3 linked regions of the Elephas maximus indicus genome follow. The protein of the gene in region 1 interacts with the protein of each later gene in a pairwise test. Links are inferred from orthologs where the notes say so. Each region holds a gene or a part of one and is shown in the gene's direction. Other genes may lie near its edges.

What was found.
Region 2: the proteins of ARAF (region 1) and TIMM44 interact in binary tests that used the Homo sapiens proteins (3 or more experiments, as listed by UniProt). The link is inferred for Elephas maximus indicus from reciprocal best matches to the Homo sapiens genes ARAF and TIMM44.
Region 3: the proteins of ARAF (region 1) and NELFCD interact in binary tests that used the Homo sapiens proteins (3 or more experiments, as listed by UniProt). The link is inferred for Elephas maximus indicus from reciprocal best matches to the Homo sapiens genes ARAF and NELFCD.

The regions. Positions count from the first base shown.
Region 1 is NC_064846.1:124,078,736-124,088,491, reverse strand, and holds the start of ARAF (serine/threonine-protein kinase A-Raf), read left to right. Parts: upstream 1-5,253; 5' UTR 5,254-5,315; exon of another isoform or gene 5,316-5,500; intron 5,501-6,692; 5' UTR 6,693-6,751; coding exon 6,752-6,847; intron 6,848-7,007; coding exon 7,008-7,111; intron 7,112-8,006; coding exon 8,007-8,109; intron 8,110-8,194; coding exon 8,195-8,352; intron 8,353-8,464; coding exon 8,465-8,563; intron 8,564-9,756. UniProt on the Homo sapiens protein: Involved in the transduction of mitogenic signals from the cell membrane to the nucleus. May also regulate the TOR signaling cascade. Phosphorylates PFKFB2.
Region 2 is NC_064821.1:12,675,306-12,685,098, reverse strand, and holds the start of TIMM44 (mitochondrial import inner membrane translocase subunit TIM44), read left to right. Parts: upstream 1-5,214; 5' UTR 5,215-5,249; coding exon 5,250-5,294; intron 5,295-8,034; coding exon 8,035-8,139; intron 8,140-9,793. UniProt on the Homo sapiens protein: Essential component of the PAM complex, a complex required for the translocation of transit peptide-containing proteins from the inner membrane into the mitochondrial matrix in an ATP-dependent manner.
Region 3 is NC_064843.1:10,146,447-10,156,446, reverse strand, and holds the start of NELFCD (negative elongation factor C/D), read left to right. Parts: upstream 1-5,462; 5' UTR 5,463-5,503; coding exon 5,504-5,563; intron 5,564-10,000. UniProt on the Homo sapiens protein: Essential component of the NELF complex, a complex that negatively regulates the elongation of transcription by RNA polymerase II.

The DNA.
Region 1 (9,756 bases):
AGTCGGCCGACACTTCTCTTACGTGTCTCGGTTTCTCTCCCGGTTGTCTAAGACAATCCGGGGGGCTCAGAGTGCTGGGTGGCCAACCCTTATGTGTGCATCCCCGGAGGAGCCTGGTTGTTAATTAAGTGAAGTCGGAAGTTCCTGTGAGGCCGCTGCACATTTTGGGTTTGACTCAGACACCTCCACAAACTGGAGGAAGCGCCTCTTTTCTTCGGAGTCGGAAAGAGTCAGACACTCGTTATTACCATCTTCTTGTTAATAGTCAGACCATCTTCTTGTTAATAGTCAGACTAAGAAGAAACAAAACACACACACAGGTAGGGGTAGGGGTACGTCAGCGCAGGGCTGGAAAGGAAAAAAAGAGAGCCCGAGCTTTTAGGTGGACTCACCACTTTCTGGACAAAGGAGGAGGAAGTTTTCAGTCCAAGTCATGGCACCAGAAGATGTTACCGGAGAATAGCCTTGGTTCTTGTCTTCAGTGTAGGAAAGAATTCAAACACTGAGACAAATAGTGCCAAGCGAGCAGAGGTTTATTAGCTAGCAGGGGGTTAGTAGCGAAAGTACACTTGGCTAGGGAGCGTCAAGCGGGCTACTCAGATAGAGGAAGTGTCCGAGTGACCTGACAGTCGTTTTCTTAGGGTTTTATACCCTTTTTCTCCTATCTCCCCCGTTAATGTTTAACTGCCAAGTCAGGGACCCCTGTAGAGACCATTTCCTTGGCTTATCATTTAATTACCAAGTTAGGGACCATCTTATTGAGGACTGTCACCACCTCCTGTCTCTTCCTCCTCCCGAGTGCAAGCTCTCCCCCTCCACCTTACAGTAATATAGATACAGTAATTCTAAAGAAAATTTTGGCAAATCAAATTTTACAATATATTAAAAGGTATTACATAATGAGAAAGTGGGGTTCATACCAGGAATGCATGATTAACATTTGAAAATTAATCAGTGTAGTCCACGATAACTCAAGAAGAAAAACCATGCGATCATTCCAATAGATGCAGAAAACCATTTCACAAAATCTAACACCCATTTTTGATGAAAAGTCTTAGCAAACCAGGAATAGAAGGGAATTTAATCAACCTGCTAAAGGGCATCTTTGATTCTTTTACAAGAAAGGAAAAGGGAAGTAGCAGAGCTTTTCAAAGCCATAGCACTGGCTGAGCTAGGTACCTGTAGGCCACCGGAACTGCTAAAACATGTCAATGCTGGGACTGAGCCTTCTGGCCTGAATAATTCAATCTCATGTAATCCTGTAAATGTCCTTTAACTTGAATTATGCAATAAGCTCTGCCAAACAACATAGATCTTTGCCCTGATACTTAAATAATATGAATGGTGCTGGTAGTGATAACAGGAATCGCTAACAACTACTGCACAATCACTATGCTTCAGGCACTGTGTCATGTTTGATATGGAATAGCTCACAGAATCTTACAACAACTCTGTATACAACATACAATAACAAGATTACTCAAGGAATGTTATTTGGTTTAATTGTTTTTCACCCACTCGTAAAAATATACAAACCTGCAAAAGAGCAGGTTTAATTTTATGAAAAAATGGAAGTGTTCAAATTACTGCCCTATGAATTTTGTTAGGAAAGGATTTTTAATAAGGAAAAGTAAAGAAACATAATCTTTAAGCACACTTACTTGTACCTTTCCCATACTTCTGACCCCAGGGTTGTATGTTAAAATTCTCTTCAGGGAATAAATAACCGGAAGTGGGAACTTCCATACTCTGCCTTTATTAAAGCTTTAATTACAATTACAGTTGCATTCCCACCAATTTAAAGACATTAACCTGCTTGTTTGTAGCAGTTCTCAGGGCTGCATCACCTCTCACTGTCTGAGGTCGCCCAAAGCCCACCTGTGCATACTGTAGGTCTGTCATGACGCTTTTCTCAGCTGAGGCAGGTCCTATCAATGCCCGCGGCTTCCCAAAGCCCGCCTTCCACTGCACTGCCATTGGGTGATATCACTGCCTGTCGGGGGCCTGAGAGGAGTGTGCATCCTCGCAGGCCGCTGCGTCAGCCCGGGGGAGCTGGTTGTTGAGGAAGCTGTGCAGGCCTGTGGGGCAGTCATCTAAGTCACTGTTTCTGCCTCAGAGAAATGGTTTTGCGAGGTGGTTGTTCTTAGGTGCCGTCGAGTAGCGACCCTATGTACAACGGAACGAAAAACCGCCCGCTCTGGCGCCATCTGCAAGGTTATCTCCCCCGAAATGGGTGGTTGAGAGTGAGGCGGTGCGCTGGGGTTTCAGAGATGGCATTCTCCAAGCAGCAGCAGGGGTTGGCATTGGAAAAAGTGTGGCATTTTTTAGGGGAGATACTCAGGACTCTTGGAGTGGCTGTAAGATGCCTTAAGGAGGTCTCCCGGCCCTGCCTGCACCCTGTTAAGCACTTTTTCTCAAGCTTAAATTCCTAGAGCTTTCTCCCCTCTGTCCCTCCCGTAAGGGCAGCCTGAACCTCAGTTTTCTCAACTGTAAAATGGGTAGCATTACAACAGCAATCGGTGAACACTTAAGATTTTTTAGTCTTTTCAAAGACATGTTACTGAGAATTTAAAATTAATGACAATAATAAAAACCCTCAAGTTGAAAAGCCTTTAAATTTTCTAGGTGGATAATTCAAAGGGGGATGTCAGAAAACCATAATCAGCTAGTTCAGGCTTTAATTTTTGTTTTAATACATGGTGCTTCTGATAGTTTTAATGTGGTGCTGATGATGATGCGAAAAACCCAAATCACTTAAAAATCCTTCGTCTTGGCCGAAGTCAGGGCAGGTGGAATGAGTTCAAAGGCATCTATGAGTCCCTGGGAGAAAAAACAGTGGTGGCCTTGCACTGCTTGCCCAGGAGTGGGCTGCACCCGCCCCTTGCTTCCCCACCGCCAGCTCCTGTGCAGTAAACTTGCACCAAGGGGTTTTGCGCTTCCTTTTGTAAACGTTAGGCAATGGAGCCAGAAGTCTGTTTTCAAACACTGCCTATAAATTAGAGTTTTAAAACAAATTAAATACTTAAATGAATTGAAATTTAAAACTCACTCCTGAAATTATTCTTCCTCCCGGCGAGCACTTTGGAGCCCCTCAGTGAGGTCCAACAAGATGAGTTCCTGACCCCGCGTGGGTATCATATCTCAATAAAAATGCATGGAAAAATGGTTTCAAACAACCAATTTTTAACATTTTGATTTCTTACAAATTCTTATTGGCTAGAGAATAAAAACAATTCTCCTCTTTTCTGAAGTTGAATCCCCGGACCCCACATCATCTGCACCTCCCAACGCAGGAGCTCCAGTGGGCACCTTAGTAACACTCCTGAGCAAGCAGTGCAAGACCAGTACTCTTTTCTCTCCCAGGGACTTAAGAGATGCTTGCTGTCGGGCGACAGCCCCAGCAAGGAAAGACCCTCACTGTGCGACCTGGCAGATAATCTGAGGAACTGACACATAGCCACCCCCACCCCCCCACCCCAGATTCATGCATTCAAGGAAACTTACTGACATGGGCAAGCAGCTGCTCTCCAGTAGTGGCCGGCTGGAGTATTTTCCGCAACCACCTAGCAAGGGACCCAAGCTTATATACCATTTCAGCTGGGACCAAGGCTCATCGTTTTCTCCCATGTCCTTGGGCAGTCAGTGTTCCCAGGGACTTCACGTCCAGGCCCAGATGTTTTCCTTCCTGTTGCTAAGGCATTCCTCAGCCTTGGCTGCTGGCCCAGTCATGCCACTCCCGGCCTTGTACCTTAGCCGAAATCCATACCGAATTCATCCCCAGCATGCTTCGGGGAAGAGCAAAGCTGATTCCATTAGGGAGAGGATGCATACAGCTGAATAGCATTACCCTACACCTCCGAAGTCATTCCACTTGCCAGGGATACTGACAGAAAGGTCGGAGGTTCAAACCCACCAGCATCTCTGCTGGAGAGAAAGATGTGGCAGGCTGCCTCGGTAAAGATTACAGTCTCGAAAACCCTGTGGAGCCATTCTGTTCTGTCCTATAGGGTCACTATGGAGGCGGAATGGACTCAATGGCAATGGATTTTGAGTTATACTTTGCATACAATAAAATGCACCCATTTTTAATGTAGCGTTCAAAGAGTTCTGACAAACTCATTGACAGAACATTCCATTCACTTCCAAAACTTCCCTTCTGCCCTTCCCAGTCAATCCCGCTCCCCACAAGACAACCACTAATTGGCTTTCCTTCACTATAGATTAGTTTTACCTGGTTTATAATTTCATACAAATGGTATAATACAGCATTTCTCCTTTGAGTCTGGCTTCTTTTATTCAACCTTATGAGATTTCATCTATGCTGTTCCATATATTATTATCTTCCATTGCTGAGTAGTATCCCATTGCTGTGTTTCTTCTTCAATTCTTAAATTGTTGGACACCTGGACTGTTTCCAGTTTTTTGCTATTATGAATAAAGCTAATTAGAACATTTGAGTACAAGTCTTTGTATAAACATTGCAGTAGTTCATAAAGGACGCCTTCCAAAACAGCTCACCGCCCCTCTTAAATCCAATGCCCCAGCTTCCGCCACACCTGAGACTTGCTGTTATCCAAGGCTATGACTACAGGCTCCAAGAGCTGGAAAACACTGAGGATGCTTTGGTCAGATTTAATCCATTTCAAAGCCGGAAAACTGAGACACAGGTGTTAAAAATAATTAAAAACTTAACATTTATTCTGAGCAGTTATTCTATAAGGAGCCCTGGTAGTGTAGCGGTTAAAACGGTAGACTGCTAACCAAAAGGCCGGCAGTTCAAAACCACTAGTGGCTCCGCTGGAGAAAGATGTGGCAGTCGACTTTCCTAGAGGATTACAAGCCTTGGAAACCCTGTGGGGTCGCAATGAATCGGAATGAACTTCATGGCACTGGTTAGCTATTCTATATGCTTAGGGCTCTTGGTCACTGACCGACGAGGGCGCTTAAGGATTCCCCGCCCAGATTCCGAAACTGCTAAGGTCACCCTTGAAAGCGACCCAAAAAAAAAAAAAAAAAGCCCTGCTTTATTCCGTCACGGCACAATTGGGGTTAAAGCTCATGGAGCGCAAGCCTCGCCCCGACTGCGCCTGCGCGAATGAGACCGTACGAATTTGCCCCAGACCCTGACGTCTCAGACAGCCTCATTCGGCCCGTCCTACCTTAATGGGCGTGCCTGCAATCCAATAAGAATGGAGGGCTGAGTCCCGTGAAGCCAATGGTGAAGGCCCAAGGGGGGGGGCGCGGAGGCGGACCCTGTAAGGAGGAGAGAAGACAGGCCCAAGATGGAGGCGGTGGAGGCCGTAGCGGCGTGACAGGTGAGGGTGGACCCCGCAAGGCTACATTTCTGGAGCGGCTCTCAGGCACAGGCAGGGAGTCTGGACCGAAAGCTCAGTTCCAGGATGGCTGCGCCTGGGCCCCAGCGCCCCCCGTCCGGAACCGGAGGAGTGGTTCGCCCCGGGGCGAAACCATCGTCGTCAGCGGGGTGAGGGGTGGGTAGACAGAATAGGCGGACTAGAAGGCTGGTGATGGTTTCGCCCGCCGCGAGTGGCAGGGTGTCTGCGCAGAACCGGGAAGCTTCCGGTAGGCGGGGCCCGGCCGATTCGGGCCTGGGCTGTGGTTTAGGGAGCTCGTGATTCTTTCTTAACCCAACTGAGGTGTCTGATAACCCGTCCTTACGTTCTCCACAGAGTGCGTGGAGATACGGCACATTACTCCCTTTCCATATTCTGGATCAATACCTGACCCATTAAGAGAATGGGAATTTCTCCATTACCCCTTCTTAGCCCTCCCCAGCTTCCTTCCATTATCCCTTTTCACTTCACTAATACGTCTGGGACCCCTCATTAGTTGTCAGGGGGACTGTTGGAGTCCCCCCTCCACCTTACTCCCTGTTTATCTCACCACGACAATGTCTGTTGATGCATGATTACCCTCTTTTGCCTTTTCCTCATGACAATGTCTGGTGATCCACCATTACCCCATACCCATTTGGCCCAATGTCAGGTGACTTCCATTTTCCACCCTTCTGCCCATGACAGTCCCTAGTGACCCCTATTATATCTCCAGCATAGTGTCTGGTGACTCCCCATCGCATAGCCTAGTGACTCCCATTATCCCCCTAACATTGTGTCTGTGATCCTACCATCAACATTACACTCCAGGCCCTTTAAGAACACTGTTTGGTGCAGCCCCCATTTCCCCCAACTAAGAGCAATATCTCACGATCCTCCATCCCCCATCACAGTGTTCGTGACTCTTCCCGCACCACAATATCTGGTAATTCCCTCTCATTAAAAGCTAGAACAGAGTCTGTTTGTGTCCATTATGTACCTAAAATCCCTAGTGCAGTGCATACTGACATTAGGCCCCAGCAGAGAGTCACAGAGTATTGTGTGCACTCCTGTACCCTCCGGGACAGTGTGTGCTGCCTTCCCACCCCCACCTCCACTCCTGCAGTGAATCTGAGACCTCGGTGCTCTGGAGGGAGACAAGTGATAGGAGGGTCTGAGCAGAGGAGCGACTGGATCCTGGCTCAGCTTCAGGTGATAACAGGATCTCATGGGCTGCTGTGTGGAAATTAGGCTACAAGGGGCAACATGGAGCCTGGAGACTGGATTTTATTTCGTACCCTGCCACTTTGCTTCCAGAGTACTACTATTGGATTTCTAAATTCCTCCTCTCTCTTCTCCTAGGAGCCCCATGGAACCTGCCCAGCCCCACCTCAGCCCTTCTTGACAAAGTCCTAGGCTCCATGGAGCTGCCACGGGCCCCCCCTGCCAACGGGGCTGAGCCATCCCGGGCAGTGGGTACCGTCAAAGTCTACCTGCCCAACAAGCAGCGCACGGTGGTGAGTCCCTGAGGGGCAAAACTGACAGGGATTAGGGATGGACCCAGTTGTAAGTCTGGGACGGGAGGGTGATAAAGGTGGGAGGAGGCCTTTGTGGAGAGGTGGGGGAGCCTACTGGGGCCCCTGTTGGGCACTGAGGGCCCCACATATGCACACACAGGTGACCGTCCGGGATGGTATGAGTGTCTACGACTCTCTAGACAAGGCCCTTAAGGTGCGGGGTCTCAATCAAGACTGCTGCGTGGTCTACCGACTCATCAAGGGGTAGGTGTGGCCCCCACCCACTGGGTGCCCAGCCTCCATGCCCTCCTCAGAGTCATCTGACTCCTTTTCTCTGCCATTGAGTCTTCCATATTCTTTCTTTCGTCTTCCATTGTTGTTGTTAGTTACCATCAAGTAGAGTCCTCATAGCAACCCCATGTCACAGAGTAGAACTGCCCCCTAGGGTTTTCTTGGCTCTCACCTTTACAAAAGCAAATCACCAGGTCTTTCTCCCTCGGAGCTACTGGGTGGGTTCAAACTGCCAACCTTTCAGTTAGCAGCCGAGTGCTTAACTGTTTGCACCACCAGGGATCCTGAGTCTTCCGTTAGTTCAGTTAATTCGTGAGTTCATCCGTCTTTTGTTACTTCATTAGCTTGCTGCCTTGTAAGGTCTGCAACTCATTCACTCCTTGACCCAAGTCCTCACCATGCCCCATCGCCTCCTCCCAGAGGAGTTCATCTGTTTTGTCCTTTCACTATTTGAGTAATTTTTTAGCTCTCTTTCTACAGTTTCCCCACTCTCTGCCTGTTGAATTGAGCCTTGGACCATTAAGTCCTTTGTTCTGGGGCTCCCTAATTTCTTTCATCTACACATTGTTTTTTGTTGGTTCATGTCTCATTAGCCACTTTTCAGGGCTTGCTCAATACTTCTAATATTGAGTTATTTATTCACCACTTCACTACCCTTGTGACCTTGGGCAAGTTACTTTACCCCTCTGGGCCTCGGTTTCTCCATTTCTAAAATGGGGGCAAGAATAGTAACTGGTTCCTAGGGTTGCTGTGTTGAGAATTAAACTTGGCAGATATTACTCTGTGGATAGCAGGCTTGGAAGGACTTTTAGGGGGTTCCATGATTCTTGTCTACCCTCCCACTCATTTCCTTCTGTGCCCTTTGCAGGCGAAAGACGGTCACTGCCTGGGACACTGCCATTGCCCCCCTGGATGGCGAGGAGCTCATTGTCGAAGTCCTTGAAGATGTCCCACTGACCATGCACAATTTTGTGAGTGCAGGGCGGATAGTAGAAACAGGCCATGGGAGGGGGGAGGGTCCTTCACCAGGACTCAACTTCTCCTGCTCTGTGGCAGCAGGTGCGGAAGACGTTCTTCAGCCTGGTATTCTGTGACTTCTGTCTTAAGTTTCTGTTCCATGGCTTCCGCTGCCAAACCTGCGGCTACAAATTCCATCAGCATTGTTCCTCCAAGGTCCCCACAGTCTGTGTCGACATGAGCACCAACCGCCGACAGTGAGCCTGGCCTGGGGTGGGTGGGGGGATGGGGAGAACAGAAGCCCAGCGACAAGGCCCTTGTAGACAGCTGACCTGTGTCCCCTCTCTCTATACCCCTTTCACCCTCAAGTTTCTACCACAGTGTCCAGGATTTGTCAGCAGTCTCCAGACAGCACGAGGCTCCCTCTAACCATCCCCTGAATGAGCTGCTAACCCCCCTGGGTCCCAGGTAGGGAACCTTAAGTGAAGGGCTGCTGTTGGGAGAAAAAGATCTGGGGGCCCCAATAGACCACAAGCCATACTTTATTCATTTCTTTATTTGATATTTTTTGAGCACCTACAAATGGAAGCAGAGTGATTAAGGGGCCTTGGGTAAGTCACCTTATCTCTCTGGGCCTCAGTTTTCTCATCTGTAAAGAGGAGATAATGATAACTTTCTACCACATAGGGTCATGATGAGGATTAGATAAGTTAAGACGTGTCCAGTGCTTAGAACAGGATCTGGCACCAAGTAAATAATCACTGTTTCTTATTGATTATAAATATATTTAATAATCTAACTGCTTTGTTAATTCTTCCAGTGTAACCGTGCTCAAGCCTTTCTATTTTGAGATACGTGCTATTTTATCATAAATTATTTTCATTTTACTTCTTTATATTAAGTATTATAGTACTGTAATATTTATTAAAATGTTATTTCTCTAATATAAGTTTATATATGCTTTATGTGTCTGTTATATATATTATAATGTATGTATATAATATATGTTATATATTACATAATCATGTCTATATTTTTATATAATGTAGAACATCATACATTTTTATATAAAATATAAAATAATAAATTCAGGCCACTATATTGACTGTTTTTAATTATAGATGTATATGGATTTGTTACCTTTGAATTTAATTTCAGGATAGTGCAGTGAGCATTAAGGTACATTTTTGTAACATTATAATATATTATAATACATTTTTATATGTATTTTAAGAACGTTGTCTTAATATGGAATCCCTGGGTGGTACAAGCAGTTAAAACATTTGGCTGCTCCATTGGCAGTTTGAGTCCACCTAGAGGCACTTCGGAAGAAAGACCTGGCAATCTACTTCCAAAAAATCAGCCATTGAAAACCCTCTGGAGCATGGTTGTACTCTGTCACAAATGGGGTTGCCATGAGTTGGAATCCACTGGACAGCAGTGAGTTTTTGGTTTTATCATCTTAATATGTATAATATACTATGTATTATATAATAATACGTAATATAATTTGAATACTATACCTAATTGTAAAATACTATGTATTACTCTTCCCTCCACTATCTACGTGGCTTGCTCTACCTCCTTTAGGTCTTTGCTCAAATGTCACCTTCTCAGAGAAGCTCTTCTTGACACTCCCAGTGACACGTTCTGTCTCCTTG
Region 2 (9,793 bases), on another chromosome or scaffold:
ATCTAACAAAACATTTACCATTTCAACATTTTTTATGTGTACTATTAACTCAGTGGCAGTGATTACATTCATCATATTAGTGGGACATTTTTATAAGACAACAGGCCTTCGAAACTGTCAAAGTCATGAAAGAAAAAAAAAGTCAGGGGACTTTTCTAGATTAAAGGAGACGTTACAATCATATGTAACGAGTGAAACTTGATTGGATCCTAGATTTTTTTTTTTTTTAAGCTACGATGAGGAAATTGAGGAGAGTCTAATAATAGAGTCTTATTTTATTGAATTTTATTCAATTCTTGTTAATGAAAGTCTTGGTGCACTAACGGCGTTGTGGTGAAGGCCTTAGGAGATACGTGCTTAAGTATTCAAGGGTGACATGTAATGACGTCCACATAACAAATGGTTTAGCAAAATATATATATATATATACAGGAAACCCTGGTGGCATAGTGGTTAAGTGCTACTGGTGCTAACCAAAGGAATGGCAGTTCGAATCTGCCAGACGCTCCTTTGAAACTCTATGGGGCAATTCTACTCTGTCCTATAGGGTCGCTGTGAGTCGGAATCAACTCGACGGCACTGGGTTTGGTTTTTGGTTTTTTTTTATATATATACACACAATACATATACACAGGAAGAGAGGTAAAGCACGTGTGGCAAAATCAATCTAGGCGAAGGGTATACGGGTGTTCACTTTATTATTCTTGCGACTTTTTTGTAGCTTTGACATGTTTCAAAATTAAAAAGCTGGGAAAACGAAAGCACCCTCACCCCCTCCCAGATGTTCCTCCAGTTGTCATCATCTCACCCTCCATGCCCGCCAAGTTTCCTCATAGGCATCTACACTTACTATGCCTATGTTCTCAACCAGTGCTGTGCTGGTTAAGTGTTGAAAAATTGGCTCTCTAAACCAACCGACTAACCAAGCCAGAAGGCCCTGATTTGTAATATCTGCCGATTCCCATGGTGTAAACACTCCCACCGTGCCCAATTGCAAGCTACCAACATGACATCACTGAAGGTGGGATTGGGAAGAAACGTGTCATAGCTCATCCTGATTCAGTATTCTCACCATACAGATGTGACAGATGTGAATAACCTCAAGAGCACAAAATCATTAGGAAGTGATGATTTCCGGGTATTTGCCTTTGTTTTTAATATAACCTATTTGAAGCTGGACTATATGAAGAATAAAGGGGCATCAGGATTAACAACCTGCATCATGCAGAGGACACAACCTTGCTTGCTGAAAGTGAAGAGGACTTCAAGCACTTACTGATGAAGATCAAAGACCACAACCTTCAGTATGGATTACACCTCAACATAAAGAAAACAAAAGTCCTCGCAAAAGGACCAATGAGCAACATCATGATAAACGGAGAAAAGACTGAAGTTGTCAAGGATTTCATTTTACTTGGATCCACAATCAACAGCCATGGGAGCAGCAGTCATGAAATCAAAAGACGCGTTGCATTGGGTAAATCTGCTGCAAAGGACCTCTTCAAAGTGTTGAAGAGCAAAGATGTCACCTTGAAGACTAAGGTGCGCCTGACCCAAGCCATGGTATTTTCAACCTCATTATATGCGTGTAAAAGCTGGACAATGAATAAGAAAGACCAAAGAAGAGCTGACGCCTTTGAATCGTGGTGTTGGTGAAGAATATTGAGTACACCATGGACTGCCAGAAGAACGAACAAGTCTGTCCTGGAAGAAGTACAACCAGAATGCTCCTTAGATGCAAGGATGGCAAGACTACATCTAACATACGTTGGACAGGGTGTCAGGAGGGATCAGTCCCTGGAGAAGGACATCATCCTCGGTAAAGTACAGGGTCATCAAAAAAGAGGAAGACCCTCAACAAGATGGATTGACACAGTGGCTGCGATAATGGGCTCAAGCATAACAATGATTGCGCAGGACCAGACAGTGTTTTGTTCTGTGGTACATAGGGTCACTATGAGTTGGAACTGACTTGACAGCTCCTAACAACAACATTTGATCATTGTTGTTTTTAGTTGCCATCAAGTTGGCTCTGACTCATAGCAACCTTGTGTATAATGATAAGATGTTGCCTGGTCCTGCACCACCTTTAGGATCGTTGGTATGCTCGAGTTCGTTATAACCACTGTGTATTTTGAGCGCCTTCCAACGTAGGGGGCTCATCATCTAGCACTCTATCGGATAATGCTCTGTTGTGATCCATAGGGTTTTCATTGGCTGATTTTCGGAAGTAGATCACCAGCCTCTATTTCAGTCTGGAAACTCCGCTGAAACTTGTCCACCATTGGTGACCCTGCTGGTATTTGAAATACTGGTGGCATAGCTTCTAGCATCATAGCAACACCCAAGTCACCACAGCGTGACAAACTGACAGACGGTGATAGATTTGATCATGTTTATGTAATTAGCTTTGGTTTTGTAATGGCTGTGTTTAGCAGCTGGCTCACAAAATTCTTGAAGATTTGACAACTGGCTCTTGTAAACTGGTAGAAGCTGGCTCCAACACACCTCTGTAAAAATCTCAACCCACCGAAATCTGGCTTTCACCTCCACCATTCAGCCAAAACCCTTTTTGCTCGTGTTACTGAAAAAAAATTTTTTTTTCCATCAAGTCAATTCCAACTCGTAACAACCCTATAGGACAGAGTAGAACTGCCTCATAGGGTCTCCAAGGAGCAGCTGGTGGATTCGAACTGCCAACCTTTTGGTTAGCAGGTGAGCTCTTAACCACTGCACCACCAGGGCATCACTCCTTTTACTAGGGACCTCCATGTTACAAAACGCAAGGGACAATGGATACAGCTCTGTCCTTGCCTAGGCTGACCTTTTTGTAGCATTCAGCATTGCTTAATCCTCCCACCTTCTCAGAGTACCTCCAGGCCCTCTTCCTACCTCTTGGCCTGTCCTACCCAATCTCCTTTAAGGGCCCTTCTTCCTCTACCTCATCTTTGGGTTTTTGGTATACTCCTTCAACACACTCTCCCTAAGGTGCCCTCGTCTAACACTATGGTTTCAACTACAACCAAGAAGTCTGATGCCTAGCCCACGTCTCAGCTGCAAACCTGTGCATCCCAATGGCTTAACCAATTTTCTCTTCTTGGAGGTTCCACAGACACCTCAAACAAAGCCAGAGTGGAAGCCATCACTCCCTACTCCCATCTCAAGGAGGAGATCCTGAGGTCCAGAGAATGCAGGTGTGACTATGAAACCACAAAGTGTAAGTTCCCCGGTGCCAAGATGCCTTTCTTCAATGAACAGTCCCATAAGCCCACATTACAATTTTATAATGCAAAAGCCTTCAACAATATGGCAAATGCAACATACATTAACTCCCCCACGGGGCCAGGCCCCTTGCATGAACCTTGTGAAACTCAGATTGCCCAGCCATGTCAAAGTACTGCCACTTGGTGGCCACATTCTCCAAATGGAAAAGTGTCCCAAGTGCGGAAATAACAAAGACCTGAGCTGCGTCAAGGCAGGTTGTATCAATTCACACAGAATTGATGGAGGAGTGGTCCACTCCCAGCCTAGTCTCAGCTTCCACCTCCAGTTTCGGGCTTCAACCAAGATTCTTCCCAAAGTGCTGTGCAAGATACTTCCTGTGGCTTGTGCTCACTCATCCGCCAGGGCACCTTCCGGAAGAGCTTGATGCTCTAGATTAGGCCACTTCTGTCAGTTATTATCATGTCCATCAGTCGGAATCCATCATCAGTGTCAGTCAGTCTAGTCAACCAGTCAGCCCTTCAGGCAGAGTCAGGCAGGGGCCAATGAGAGCCAGAGTCAGTAGGAGTCGGTTGAGACCAGTCTTTCAGTCAGTCAGACAAATAGGGTCAGAGCCGGTCAGTTGGACAGTCAGTCAGATTCCATCACTTCAGTCAAGAGTCAGCCAGAAGCCTTAGTTGATGTCAGGGTCAGTCCTTCAGTCAGTCAGACAGTAACGGGGAAGGGAGAGTCAGAATCAGTCAGTTGGCATGTCAGTCATTATCAGTCTGTTGTTATTGTTGTTAAAAACAAAACAAAACAAAACCCAGCGCTGTTGAGTCGATTCCGACCCATAGCGACCTATAGGACAGAGTAGAACTGCCCCATAGAGTTTCCAAGGAGTGGCTGCTGGATTCAAACTGCTGACCCTTTGGTTAGCAGCCATAGCACTTAACCACTATGCCACCAGGGTTTCCGTTGTTGTTAGCTACCATCAAGTCAGCCCCTGACTCATGGTGACCCCATGCAAAACCGGATTGGACCGTTGTGACCCATAGGGTTTTCAGGGGCTGATTTTTGGAAATCAATTGCCAGGCCTTTCTTCCTAGTCCACCTTAATCTGGAAGCTCCACTGAAACCTGTTCAGGACCATAGTAACACACAAGCCTTCACAGGCAGATGGGTGGTGGCTGTGTGCCAGACTAGTCAGTGGTCACTGAGTCAGTCACAGGCAGGCAGTCTGTCTGCATCAGTCCTTCAGTCAGTCAGTCACTGGAAGACAAGGTCAGAGTCAACCAGTCAGCCTGTCAGTCATCATTACCCTAGGTAGCCATAAGTCAGGCAGTCATAGGCAGGCAGGCGGTCAGTCGGGACCAGTCCTCTGTCAGTCATTCAGTCAGAGCCTCTCAGTCATCGTCAGTCGAGCTAGCCAGTCGTTGAGTCAGTCGCTGGCAGGCAGTCATTCAGTCAGTAGTCAGCCATCCGTCAGTCATTGTCGGTCACCGTCAGTGAGGCAGTCAGCGTTATCGGTCTGTCGGTCACTCTCTGGGAGTCACTGTCACTGTCAGTGAGAGCCAGAGTCAGTCTCTGTCGGGCTGGTCCGCCGGTCTGTCAGTCAGAATCCAGCTGTGTCCGTCCTGGTTGTCGGTCAGTCCGTCTCCCTGTCCCTCTGACTGCCAGAACCCTGCGCAATCTGCAAAAGATTCACCGCTCCCGACTGATTCCACGTCCCAGGCCACCCCTCCTCTTACTCTCGCCCAATCACAGGTCTCAGCCTCATTAGGAGTGCCCGCCCTCTGGGGCCACATCCAGTCACAGGCCCTGTTCTTCCGAAACCCTGCCCTCCACCGTACCCCGCCCCCTAGCAGTCCCGCTGGGTACGCCCCCGCAGCCCTGTCCTATCACAGACCCCCCTCCTCAAGGCCCTGCCCCTCTGTGGAGTCACGTCCAATCAGAGTCCTCTCCCTGTCTGAGACCCCCCCCCCGGCGGGCGCCATGGATGACGCCATAAGGCCTCGCCGCGAGAAGGTCACACGGGCTCTTCCAACATGGCGGCGGCGGCGCTGCGGCGAGGCTGGTGCCGCTGCCCGCGGGTGAGCGGACGTGCGGGCAGGCGGGGCGGGTGCCTAGGGGCTCAGGGTCCGCGGCCTCCAAGGGCTCCTTCTCCTCTTGTCCTTGGCCTCCGCGGCCCTTCCCTTGGTTCGAGCGAGAGGCTTGCGGTTGGGTCAGCCGAGGCCGGGTTAGGGAGCCCGGAGCTAGGCCTGAGCGCGAGGACCGAGCGAATCGCCCCTCACCTCCTGCACATACCCCCACGTGCTCGGGGTGGCTGCTGCCTGTTGAGAAGAAGTAGCGAGGGGAAGCCAAAGTGACAATCATGTCTTGCGTATATATGCCAGATCCGCTACCAAGAGCATTTCCTGCCGAGCCTCTCGTAATCCTCAAGTGGAAGTGTGGAAGGCGGTTCTCGCCTTGGCCCAGAGCTTGGGCTCTTGAGTTCCTAGGGCGGTGGGACTCAGGGTGTGGAGAGCTCAGTTAGAAAATAGCACTTCATGTTAATGCTGCAGGAAACTGGAAACCCAGACAGGTTAAGCAACCTGTTCACAGGCCCACAGCTAGCGGATGGCTGACCTGGTCCAAAGCCCAAGTCAGTCTGACTCCAGAGCCAAACTGTTAAAACTTGTAGGCTTCCAAGTGTGGGGAAAAACAAGGTTTCTTTGACTCAGAACTGATTTTTTTTTTTTTCTTGGCCATTTGTCTTTTGAGTCAAGGTTTAGAGGTTAAATTTACATGTGTTTGGATTTGGTCACAAGACCTAGGGGGGACCAGCCTCAGACTTATCTCCCATATTAGACAGCCATCCACGTATGTTTTGGACGGTGGCCAAAGACAGTGGCTCTGGGGTCTGTGGGTGTAGAGATATTGAGAAATACAGCAAGTTACAGTAAAACCTGCAAAAGCCAGAACCTGTGTAAGGTGGAAACCTGCCAGAGAAGGAAAATTCAAGTATTTTCCACTAAAACGAGCTATAGCAAAGTGGTAGAGCTGCACTCTGTCAAAGGCAGAAAACTTGCAAGACCCGGAAAAAACCAAGCAGTCCAAACAGATTTCGGCTGTCACAGATTTCACTGTATTTAAACTCCCAAGAGTGACTCTCTCGAGTAACTATAGGAGATAGTGGTTTGGCACGTTCCTGGGGGTTCCCAGAGCTAGGAGGCAGGAAATATGGAGAGGAAGGGTCCTCTTGTAGTTAGGTGCTGTCGAGTCTGTTTTGACTCATTGTAACCCCATGCGACAGAGTAGAACTACCCATAGGGTTTTTCTGGGCTGTCATTTTTACCAGAGCAAATCACGAGGTCTTTCTCCTGTGGAGCTGCTGGGTGGGTTCAAACCATCAACCTTTCAGATAGCAGCTGAGTGCTTAACCGTTGCGCCACCCACTGTGCAAATGGAAGAGTGGTTCTGTCAGGTCGTTTGACGCCAGTGTACTAGGCACCATGCTGGGTGATAGGGTGCAGCATTGAGCAGGACCCCCAGGTCCTACAAAAAAATGCCTTTCACATGAGGTTGCTGGGTCTTTGCCTAGCGTGACTCCCCTGTGATACCTTGCTTGTGGCTCAACCCTTGACCAGGGCATTGTGGGTTTCTTCCAGCACTGTGCCTGGGATGCTGCTTTATCAGTGTTTGCCTCTGAAAGCCCACGACTTCTGTGAGAGAACACTGCCAGCCGCCAGCATCAAGGCTCAGTGTGCCCTTTTTCAGACTGCGGGATTAAAACGAAACCCAAACCCATTGTGGTTGAGTTGATTCCGACTCATAGCCATCTTACAGGACAGAGTAGAACTACCCCATAGGGTTTCTAAAGCTGTAACGTTTACAGAAGCAGACTGCCACATCTTTTCTCCCATGGAGCTGCTGGTGGGTTCAAACCGCCAACCTGTAGATTAGCAGCTGAGCACTTAACCATTGCACTGCCAGGGCTGGCATGTTTAGCCTCCACCACCCATCTGTCAGCTTGTCCTATTGTAGTGGCCTGTGTGTTGCTAGGGTGCTGGAAGCTATGCTGCCCGTATTTCAGATAGCAGCAGGGTCATCCATGGTGAACTGGTTTTAGCAGATCTTCCAGACTAAGACAGACTAGGAAGAAAGGCCTGGCATTCTGCTTCCAAAAACCAGCCAATGAAAACCCTATGGGTCACAACCTAACATCATCTAATATAGCACTAGACAACAAGCCCCCTAGATTGGATGGCACTCGAAATGCACAGTGGCTGCAATAATGGGCTGAAGCATGTCAAAGATTATGAAGATGGCACAGGACCAGGCAACATTTTGTTCTGTTGTACATAGGGTTGCCATGAGTCGAAGCCAACTTGATGGCAACCAACAACTGAAAAAACCAAATTTTTGTAGCGACCCTATAGGACAGAAGAACTGCCCCATGAGGTTTCCAAGGAGCAGTTGGTGGATTCAAACTGCTGGCCTTTTGATTAACAGCTGAGCTCTTAACCACTACGCCACGTAATGACAGCAAACAACATATAGCCGTCTTCCCCCATAGGTTGGCATTTCCTGGGACCTATCCATTTTCCCCCAGGATCAGAGGCAAGAGGGTAGATATAACCCCAGGAGCCGAGGATGCAGTATTTTCTCTTTCTGGCAGATTCCACGGGCTTCGCAGACAGTAGGAAGACTGAAGGGTATTCAGCGTGGGGCAGGCATGTGGTAGAAATCGGGGAATAGGCCTCAGGCAACCCTTGGCTTTTTTTATATGGCACACTTACCTTCCGGTTACCTTCTTGTTTTAATGGATCTTTCTCTTTTCTCCCCAATCAGAGATGCCTCGGGAATGGAGTCCAGTTTCTTGCCAGCCACAACCTAGTCCCTCTGCCCTACGGTTCGACTTATCAGATGTGCCGACCAGGTAGAGAGCTGCCCCTGGTGAGTGGCTCGGACCGCGAGCAAGCCGACGGTAGGGGAGATCTGAAAAGCCAGACTTTGTTGGCAGGAAGAGGGTAGGGACATGGAGGGACATGGCAGGCGTTCCACAACCAAGGCCTTCTGGTTACAGAGCCCACCGGCTTGGGAAGCAGTCAACCAACTCTTGCTGGACATCTTTAGGGACAAGGCACTCCTCCCTCACAAAGTAGCACCTGGTGTCAGCTCTAATGGCTAGAAACGCCATCCCTATGTTGAACGGAAGTCCACTTCCCTTAGGCTTCTCCCCGTGGGTCCCTCACCAAGCAAGGCTCTTCCCTTTTCCTGTGATAGTAGCCTTTTAGGCATTTGAACGGTCACCCCATTGTTCCCTAGGCTTGGGTTCCCCAGGCTACACCTGTCCCATCCCCTCAGTCTTCCTCCCAAGTACCATTTTCTAGAGTTTTTGCACTCCTGGTCTCTCCCGGTCAACTGAGCTTCTGCTTGTGTCTTGCCACCTTGAGGAGGGAAGCTTAGAGCCCTGCACCGTGCTTGGGCCACTCACACCCTCCTCCCCCTCTTCGTGCACCCAGAGTCTCGCCCTTACCAACTTCACCTCAGACAACTGCTTCTTGTACCTGCTTCACACAGGCATTATCCTCAGGTCCAGTTCTGGGGTGCTTGTGGGCATGGAATCGTTTGCCTGAGTTGTCCAGTTCCCCCACACCCAAGATCTGCAGTCCCAGAGGACATGGTAGGGCTGATGCAAGGTGGCGGACCCCCAGATGGTCTCACAGCCCAGCTAAGCAGAGCATCTGAATGGGACCGTGGCCTGCTGGCCCCAGGCCTGGCTGCCCCTCCTGGAATGCAGCACCCAGGCTGAGGGTACACCTTGCCCTTGTGACTTGACAAACATTGAGAGTTCATTGCTCCTGAAGCCAGCAGAGTGACCGCAACTGCTGCTTCTGGGGGTGCGCCCATGGAAATGTTGAGAGGAGCCGACCACTCGTGGCCACTTCCCGTGACACAACTCTGACAGTCCTCATTACGCAATTTCTCTTCTTTTGAGGCCATTCTCGGTTACACATGTGGTGAAGCAGGGATTTGAACCTGGCTCTGCCAGCCCTGAAGCCGGTGTCGTCAAGCCATGTGCAGCACAGGCTCTTGTGTCTGGAGCTGAGCGCCTGGAAGTGTTGGGTTTTCCCAAAGGTGGGAACCCTGAGCTTGGCTTCTCTGTGACTGAGCCTGTGGGCCCAGAGAGGGAGGCCTATGCCCATCTTCTCCCTTGAGTGACAGGTCGGTGCCCCCTGGGAACCTGAAGTGGCCCCAAAGAAGCAGTTCTCTGAGCGGGGGTGGGAGGAAGTTCTCCCAGCCCCAGAATCCCAGGGAGTTACCCAGTGCAGGGACCTTGGGATCCAGAGGCCCAGAATCCTTCCAACTCCAGTTCCAGGCCAAGGGCCCCTCTGGACATTGAATGTGAGTGCATTTGAATTCCCATGAGGACTCCAAGCTGTGCCTGGGTCTTTTTTTTTTTTTTTTAATAATATTTAATTGTGCTTTCAGTGAAGGTTTACATAACCATTTAGATTTAGGTCCCCATTCAACAATTTCTACACAAATTGTTCAGTGACATGGCTTACATTCTTCACAACACATGAACATTCTCGTTTCTGTTCTG
Region 3 (10,000 bases), on another chromosome or scaffold:
GGTGCTTTACACAGTTATTGTGCTAAATCCTTCCTCCCCACCATCTGGCCCCGCCTGCCTCTCCCAGCTCAACCAAGCTTCTTGCTGCCCCAGCAGGTGCCAGTGCCTTTCTGTTCCAAGGACATACACCAAGCCTTTTCCCTGGCAGCTCCCCTCCTAAAAATACTCTCTCCTTGGCCCTAGCTTGCTTGAGTCTCTTTCACTGTGTAGACCTCAGATCAAATGTAGTTCCCAGAGAGGCCTTCTCTGACTGCCCCAAGTAGCCAACCAACTACTGGTTGCCGTTGAGTCAGTTCTGACTCATGGAGACCCCACATGTCACAGTAGAACTCTGCTTCATAGGGTTTTCAAGGGCCAAGTTTTCAGAAGTGGATCATCAGGAATTTCTTCTGAGGCACCTTTGGGTGGACTCAAACTGCCAATATCTCGGTTAACAGCTGAGCACATTGACCATTTCTCTCCTGCTAGCCCAGAATACTAGCACTGGTCACCATCTGTCATTATTTTGTCGGTTTGTTTCCCATTCATCTCCATCGGTAGATTGTCGGTTCCACCAGGGCAAGGACCGTGTCCAGTTTTCTCACCACTGAGTTCCAGTGGGCAGAACAGTGCCAGCACCTAGGGGACTCTCAATAAACACTTGATGAAGGAACAAGGGGAGGAATGCAGGAAAGCACAGAGAAGCCCTCACAAATGGTTGCTATGATCAATGTTTTAGGGCTCCTCTCTGAAGCCCATTCCTTGCTGCCGTGGCTTCACCTGTCAAAGCATGCACATCTGATGCTGTTGGCCTCCCTGCTCAAAAACTCTCCCTGAGCATCCTGGCGGCTATGAGTTTTTGACCCCCCTACTACTTGGAACCCTGGTGGCAGAGTGGTTAAGAGCTTGGCTGCTAACCAAAAGGTCAGCAGTTCAAATTAACCAGCCACTCCTTGGAAACCCTATGGGGCAGTTTTACTCTGTCCTATAGGGTCACTATGAGTTGGAATTGACTCCATGGCAATGGGTTTGGTTTTGGGTTTACTACGTGTAGGAACTGTGCTGAGGGCTTTAAAAGCATCATCTCTTTTGTCTTTTCACAGACCTCCTACGAAGAAGCAGGTCCTCTCTTCCAGGACTGTGTTATGACTTTTGTGGGACCTAGGGTGGCACCCCCACCTGTCTGTTAGTTCGTCGTACTGTGGGGGCTTGCATGTTGCTGTGATGCTGGAAGCTATGCCACCGGTATTCAGATACCAGCAGGGTCACCCATGAAGGACAAGTTTCAGCTGAGCTTCCAGACTAAGACAGACTAGGAAGAAGTACCCAGCAGCCTACTTCTGAAAAGAATTAGCCAGTGAAAACCCTATGGATAGCAGTGGAGCATTGTCTGATATAGTGCTGGAAGATGAGCTCCCCAAGTTGGAAGGCACTCAAAAGATGACTGGGGAAGAGCCACTGCCTCAAAGTAGAGTTGACCTTAATGACATGGATGGAGTAAAGCTTTTGAGACCTTCATTTGCTGATGTGGCACGACTCAAAAAAAGAAGAAACAGCTGCAAACAACCATTAATAATTGGAACGGGGAATGTATGGAGTATGAATCTAAGAAAATTGGAAATCATCAAAAATGATATGGAACACATAAACATTGATATCCTAGGCATTAGTGAGCTGAAATGGACTGGCATTGGCCATCTTGAATTGGATAATCATATAGTCTACTACGCCGGGAATAACAACTTGAAGAGGATGGTGTTGCATTCATCGTCAAAAAGAACATTTCAAGATCTATCCTGAAGTACAAAGCTGTCAGTGATAGGATAATATTAATACGACTATTATTCAAATTTACACACCAACCACTAAGGCCAAAGATGAAGACATTGAAGATTTTTATCAGTTTCTGCAGTATGAAACTGATCGAACATGCAATCAGGATGCATTGATAATTACTGGTGGTTGGAATGTGCAAGTTGGAAACAAAGAAGAAAGATGGGTAGTTGGAAAATATGGCCTTGGTGACAGAAACAATGCTGGTGATCGAATGATAGAATTTTGCAAGACCAATGGCTTCTTCATTGCAAATACCTTTTTTCACTAACATAAATGGTGCCTATACACATGGACCTCACCAGATTGAACACATAGGAATCAAATCGACTACATCTGTGGGAACAGATGATGGAAAAGCTTGATATCATCAGTCAGAACAAGGCCAGGGGCCAACTGTGGAACAGGCCATCAATTGCTCATAAGCAAGTTCAAGCTGAAACTGAAGAAAATCAGAGAAAGTCCACGAGAGCCAAAATATGACCTTGAGTATATCCCACCTGAATTTAGAGACCGTCTGAAGAACAGATTTGACGTGTTGAACACTAGGGACCGAAGACCAGATGAGCTGTGGAATGACATCAAGCACATCATACATGAAGAAAGCAAGAGGTTGCTGAAAAGACAGGAAAGAAAGAAAAGACCAAGATGGATGGCAGAGGAGACTCTGAAACTTGCTCACGAACGTTCAGCAGCTAAAAAGCAAAAGGAAGAAACGATGAAGTAAAAGAACTGAACAGAAGATTTCAAAGGGTGGCTCGAGAAGACAAAGTAAGTATTATACTGACACGCACAAAGAGCTGGAGATAGAAAACCAAAAGGGAAGAAGTTCGGCGTTTCTCAAGCTGAAAGAACTGAAGAAAAAATTCAAGCCTTGAGTTGCAATAGCGAAGGATTCTACAGGGAAAATATTAAATGACACAAGAAGTATCAAGAGAAGTTGGAAGGAATACACAGAGTCACAATACCAAAAAGAATTAGTCGGTGTTCAACCATTTCAAAAGGTTGCATATGATCAGGAACTGAAGTGAGAGAGCTGAGTGCCTGTGCGCAGGAGGCTTTCCGGCAGAGTGGGGTGCCTCCGGGCACTTACTGGTGGAGCTACTAAGCTTTGGAACACTTGCCCCAGCAGAGCAGATGTGGGTGTGAGGCCCAAAGAGCGGAGAAGCCAAGAAACCAGGAAACAGAAGCTCAAGAGACAAGGAACACAAGAAGCTGAGCTGTCTCAGTCTCAAAAGGTATGGCCATGACCTCAGGGGTTTCAAAGGGTGGAGCCATGGCCTCCGGTGTTTCTAAGGGTGGAGTTGCCACTCAGATGGACTAGGAGAATGGTGTGCCTAAAGCCGGGGCAGCAGAGTTGCTGTCCCAGTGTGCCTGGAAGGCAGAGCTGAAGCACAGGGCCAAGAGGCCTCCACTCAGAATCCAGAGACTGTGGCCAATACCTAGAGGCTGGAGGGCAGGGTTATTGTGTAAATTGTGTCAGAGAACGGAGGATTACTTTCAAAGCTTTGAGGGCTAATGTAATGTGTTCTGCTGACTTGCTTGGTGCTTGTTATCCCTTCTTTCCTCCAGTTTCTCCCATTTGTAATAGAAATGTCTAGCTTGTTCCTTGTATTTTGGAAGCAGATGATTTGTATTCCAGATTTTACAGATGAAGATGAATTTTCAGATTTTCGACTTGGAACTAAGACTTTTGCTATGATATGAGATGAGTATGTTTTGCATGCTGCAAGAATGTGATTTTTGGGGGACCTCCAGGAGGAATGTCATAGATTATGTGCCCCTCCCCCCACCCAAATCTGTGTATCAACTTGGTTAGGTCATGTGTGGTTGTTCTCCATTTTGTGATTGTAATTTTATGTTGAGAGGATTAAGGTGGGATTGTAACACCACCCTTACTCAGGTCACCTCCCTGATCCAAGGTAAAGGGAGTTTCCCCGGGCTGGGGCCTGCACCACCTTTTATCTTTCAGGACATAAAAGGAAAGGGAAGCAAGCAGTGAGTTGGGGACCTCATACCACCAAGAAAGCAGCACCAGGAGCAGAGCATATCCTTTGGACCTGGGGTCCCTGTGCCTGAAAATCTCCTCTACCATGGGAAGATTGAGGACAAGGACGTTCCTCCAGAGCCGACAGAGAAAGAAAGCCTCCCCCAGGAGGTGACACCTTGAATTTGGACTTTTAACCAACTTCACTGTGAGAGAATAAATTTCTCTTTGTTAAAGCCATCCACTTATGGTATTTCTGTTATGGCAGCACTAGACTAAGACACATACTTTGGACATGTTGTCAGGAGGGATCAGTCCCTGGAGAAGGACATCATGCTTAGTAAAGTACAGGGTCAGCAGAAAAGAGGAAGACCCTCAATGAGGTGGATTGACACAGGGGCTGCAACAATGGGCTCAAGCAAAACGATTGTAAGGATGGCACAGGACCGGGGAGTGTTTCGTTCTGTTGTACATACGATCACTGAGTCGGAACCGACTTGACGGCACCTAACAGCAACAACAGGGTGTCACAGACGGTTAAGCGCTCCACTACTAACCTATAGATTGGTGGTGTGAACCCACTCAGTGAAGGCCTCATGATCTGCTTCCCTAAATATAGTCACAGAGTAGAACTGCGCCATAGGGTTTTCTAGGCTGTAAGCTTTATGGGAGCAAATCACCAGGTCTTCTTCCCTTGGAGCAGCTGGCTGGGTTTGAACTGCCAAGCTTTCAGTTAGCAGCAGAGGGCTTAGCCACTGCGTCACCAAGGCCCCTCCTATAAAGCTTACAGCCAAGAAAACTTTATGGAGCTTTCTACTCTTTCTGACACATGGGATCCACTCCAGGGCCAAATGGCTTGGTTTTTTTTTTTTTTTTTAGGCCCTTTTGCCTTGTAGGCCTTTCTTCCATTATAAAAAAAACTGTATTTTATGACTTGTTGATATCCTCATACCAATTATATTTACACAGTCTATGGTAGATTATTATATTACTCGTTTTTTCTTCCGATTTTATAAAAAATTAAAATATTTTCGTGGGCTCTACACGTGACAGGAAGAGCCCTCGCAGCTCTTGCCTACCCAGAAAAGTCAGCAATTTGAACCAACCAACGGTTCCACAGGAGAAAGACCTAGCGATCTGCCTAGATTACAGCCTAGGAAACCGTATGGGGCAGTTCTACTCTGTCCTATAGGGTCCCTATGAGTCGGAATTGACTCCCCTGCAATGGATTTTGATACTGGAAGGATAATGGCCCTGCGCTTGCTGTCCCTAGTAGTCAGACGACAAAACTGCCGTTGCAAGGGTCAAAACCAAAAAACCAAACCCGTTGCTGTCGAGGACACATAGGACTGGCCAAAGGCGCAGTGAAGAAGGGGCAGAGCTGGGAGTGAACCCACGCCAGACTGAGCTTAGTTCTAAACTTCTACTGGAGCCAAAGTTCCTGGAACCCCGTCAGGTTCCATTCGGACGTCCCCTTATCCCGTGCCCCGCCCCAAGCCAGCCTGAGCACGTGGAGCCACAAGTGACCGGTAGCCCTAGGTCCGGACGGAAGCTCACTGACCCCACCCCCTCCGCCTAGAGCCTGGCGCGCGGCTGCGGTGGGCGGGGACGCAGGCCGCGCTTGCGCAGTCCGTCCGCCCCGCGCGCGCGCATGCGCCGTGCTCGCTCGCGAAGAGGGTGGCGGGGGCCGCGCCGGGAGCCATCATGGATGAGGACTACTTCGGAAACGCGGCCGAGTGGGGCGACGAGGCGGACGGCGGCCAGGTGAGGGGGGGCACCCCCCGACGAGGACTTCCGGTCTCCGTCGCCGGCGGGTCGGCCCGCGTGCTCACCGAGTGGTTCAAGCACAACCTGCCCCGCCCGGGAGACCGCGGCCCCGACCACACCCCCTACTCACACCCCCTCCGGCCGAATTGGTCCGGCTGCCCCCCGCACGCCGCTGTCCGCCCAAGGGCCCTTCGTTCCCTCACTTTACTATAGGGATGGGGGACCAAATGGGACCCACCCTGGCTTGCCGAGGAGGCCCGGGAGGTCCCTGACCGTTGGTGCCTCAGTTTCCCGCGCCCGGTGAGGGTCTGGGTCTCTGACTGGAGAGGTGCTGGTTACTCATGGGGACATGACCTGACCTATTGACCACTCACCTGGGGCCCGCGCACTTCTAGCCCCCAAGGCGGCTAGGCTACAAACTCCGGACGGTTAGGCTGGGAGCTGCACGGAACCAAACCCGTTGCCGTCGAGTGGATTCCGACTCATAGCGACCCTAAAGGACGGAGTGGAGGTGCTCCATAGGGTTTCCAAAGTGTGGCTGGTGGATCTGAACTGCTGACCTTTGGGTTCGCAGCCTAGCATGCCGCTCTTAACCACTGTACCACCAGGGTCTCCAGAACCGCAGAGGTTCTTAAAATAATTTACTCTTTCAGAAAACTCCAAGTCAGCATCATGTGGGAAAAGTAGAGCTTTGGGCACTCTTGGAGCCCTGGTGGTGCAGTGGTTAAAAGCTTGGCTGGATACCAAAAGGTTGGCAGTTCGAATCCACCAGCCGCTCCGTGGAAACCCTCTAGGGCAGTTTTATTCTGTCCTGTAGGGTTGCTATGAGTGAGCATCGACTCCACGGCAACGGCTTTGGGTACTTTTACATGTGTGTTACTGTTTGTGAACTATAAGCTTTTCAGGGTTTGGGGCAGATTTAATTTATACTTTGGGCTAAATGGCTTTGAAAGGCTCTTCCAGCAGTGGCCTTCCAGGGTTTGGTGTGAGAACAGGGCAGCAACCGGTCTGCTCTTCCCTGAATATGTTGTTGGGTGCCCTCCAGTAGATTCCACTCATACACTCATAGTGGCCCCGGATGATAAAGTAGAGCCAGGCCGTGGGGTTTTCTAGACTATAATTTTTACGGGAGCAGATCACCAGGTATTATCTTCCTCAGAGCCACTGAGTGGGTTCGAACCACTAACCTTTTGGTTAGCAGCCAAATGCTTAACCATTGTGCCACCAGGGTCACCATCCCCTGAAGATAGGGGTTGGAAAGCATACAGCCTTATTCTAATGGTAAGACTCAGCTGAGTTCCATGTGTCAAGCTTCTTGGGCCCCTCACTTAGAGACGGTGATCCAGTCAGTCTGGAATGGAGCCTGGGAATTTGCCTTGTTCACATGAGTTTAAGATTAGTTACCTTTGGGAAATACAGGTAGTCCCTGACTTATGATGTACTCAAGTTAGGACCGTGCATCTTGTCATGAGTAATACGTACTACATACAGTGTTGCTGCATGTAATTTGGTGATGTCATTTTCATGCCAACCCCCAAAGACAAAGATTGGATTTATAAAGATACTGATAAAAGGCAATGATAATTTTTTTAAAAATAAAATATTCAATTTATGTCAGAACCGACTTATGATAGAGCCATTGGACCAGAACCCCATCATAAATTGGGGACTACCTGTACTGGGCTAATACGTTGAAGGAAGAAAGGATGAAATGGGGTTCACCTCATTGAAAGGGGATGGTGGTGAGAAGAGGGCACCACAGCCAAGGTACAAAGATAGAGGTGTATTTCTGGAACTGAAAAGTCCTGTGTGGTTAGTTGCCTTGTGGAGGCAGTGGCATGAGGTACGGTAGGGAACAGGTTCTGAAGGACCCCTGAAAGCTGCTGAAAAATGACATGTTGGAAAGTTAAGGGCAGGGGCGACACAAGTGGATTTGCATGTTGGATTGTTGTGCAGTGTTGGAGGATTACAGTGGTGTGGGTAAAGAGTCAGAGTTAGCTCATTGCGAGCCTGTGCTAGGTGCTTTCATGCATTATCTCACTCCACCCTCAAGTTTGGAGTTGGGTGTCACTTTGCACATTTTGTAAATGATGACAGTGAGGCACAAAGACTTGGTTATCTGCCCAAGGTCCCAGAACTCGTAAATAGGGGAGTGGGGCTCCAAACCCAGATCCTCTGTCTCCATTGCCACTTTTAACCCACTGCTGACCACCGAGATGGTCCAAATGAGAGAAACTTAGGGTCTTAGTGCTGGATTGGTGTTTGGGATATCCTGTTCAAAATATCATAGTACTTGTCACATTGAGCCTTTGGGTCATAGAATGTTAGAACTGGGGTATGTCTTTAGGGTCATCTAGTCCAAAACCCAGAAAACCAAACCTGTTGTCGTGGAGTTGATTCCGACTCATAGCGACCCTATAGGACAGAGTAAAACTGCCCTGTAGGATTTCCAAGGAGTGGCTGGTGGATTCAAATAGATGACCTTTTGACTAGCAGCTGGGCTCTTAACCACTGCACCACCAGGGCAGCAATGCCCTCATTTTAAAGACTGAACAGACAAGTTAGTTGCCCTAGCTTACCCAAGTGGGAATGGCAGAGCCAGGTCTGGGCCCCACTGGTGGAGAACTTTAATCATGATTCTAATTTGGCTCAGTGATCCTAGTGGGCTGTCATTGATGAGAGGGATGGCCCAGATGTTCAGTTCACGTTCATTCTAACCGTGACTGCTTGGAGGAGCAAGAGAGTGTCAGGGGAGGTGACAGAGAAGGAGTGGCATGATCTGGATTTTGAAAGATAGTGATAGATCAGTCGTGTGTCAAATTCTGTGCAGTTGACTCCATGTTAGATGGCTTCTTGGAGGCAGGAAGATGTATAAAGAGACTACTGTGAAGTTAAGCTCAGAAACCAAGAGCTACTGAAATGCAAGTAATTCAGTCTGGCTGCAGGTTGCGTATGGGGAGCAGCAAGAATGACACTGGACCGGTGAACAGTGGGAAGGACAAGGGTAAAGAGCTAGGATTTTTTTTTTTCCTGAGGGAGATAGGAAACTTTAAGCAGGAAGAGTGGCATCAGATTTGTGGCTTCTGAAGATAACTGTGGCATCACCATGAAAGAAGATTGAAAGGAAGGCTGGAGGCCCTAGGGCACGGTTGCTACTGCTGCAGAAATGCAGAAGATGATCTGTGGAGGCAAATTTGGAGAAGGGGCCAAAGTGCGTGGATGTGTGGGAAGGAGAACTGATGGGTGTTCGTGACAAGATGTGGGGTGGGGAGAGGGAAGAACTAAGGACGGCGCCCAGGTTTCTGATTTGGAGTAGCAGGTATACGATGGGCTCCTTTACTGAAATAGGGACTCTAGGAAGAAGATCTGTTTTCAGGGACTAGATGATGTTGGTTTTGGATCTAATGAGTTTGGGGTACTAGCAGAACATTCAAATGGAATTGAGAACAGACTGTTGAGTATTTGATTCTGGAGCTTAGGAGAGAGACCTGGGGTAAATTCTAGGTTTATGAGCGGAGGGGGGGTGACATGACCCAAGAGAAGATGTGGTAATAGCAGCCGGAGAGTACAGACACGGAAGGATGAGCCTCTGGGTGAAGCCTCGCTCAAGGCTTCCCACCAGTGTGGTCTGGGAAGAGACTCCCAGTCTCCCCTTGAAGACATCATGTGCCATCTGCTCCCAAAGCACTACTTTCAGAATGTTAGTCTAGACCAGGAGCAGGCAAGCTTTTCTGAAAAGGACCAGAGTGTAAATATCTTAAGCCGTGCAGGTCTCTGTGGCAACTGCTCTTACTCTGCCATAGTAAAGGGGAAGCAGACGTTGTCACTGTTGTTGTTAGGCGCTTTCAAGTTGGTTTCGATTCACAGTGGCCCTGTGTACAACAGAACAAAACACTGCCAGGTCCTGCACCGTTTTCAGTCGCTGCAATGTTTGAGGCCATTGTTACAGCTGCTGTGTCAGTCCGTCTTGTTGAGGGTCTTCTTTTTTGCTGACTCTCCCAAGCATGATGTCCTCCTCCAGCCTCTGGTCCCTGCTGATAACATGTTTAAAATACATGAGACAAAGTCATACCATCCTTGCTCCTAAGGAGCATCCTGGCTGTACTTCTTCCAAGACCGATTTGTTCATCCTTCGAGTAGTCCTTTTATATTCATTGTTCCCTTTATTGGTGTATAGGAATCCAGCTGATTTTCGTATGCCCCTATCTTTTATCTTATATCCTGCTCCTCTGCTGAATCTGTTTGTTATGGAGTCTTTGGGGTTTCTATGTATAGTATCATTTCATCTGCAAATAGGGACAGTTTTATTTTTTCATTACCATTTGGGTGCCGGTTATTTCTTTTCCTTGCCCTGTTGCTCTAGCTAGGACTTCCAGCACAGTGTTCAATAGGAGTGGTGGCAAAGGGCACCCTTGTCTTGTTCCTGTTCTCAAA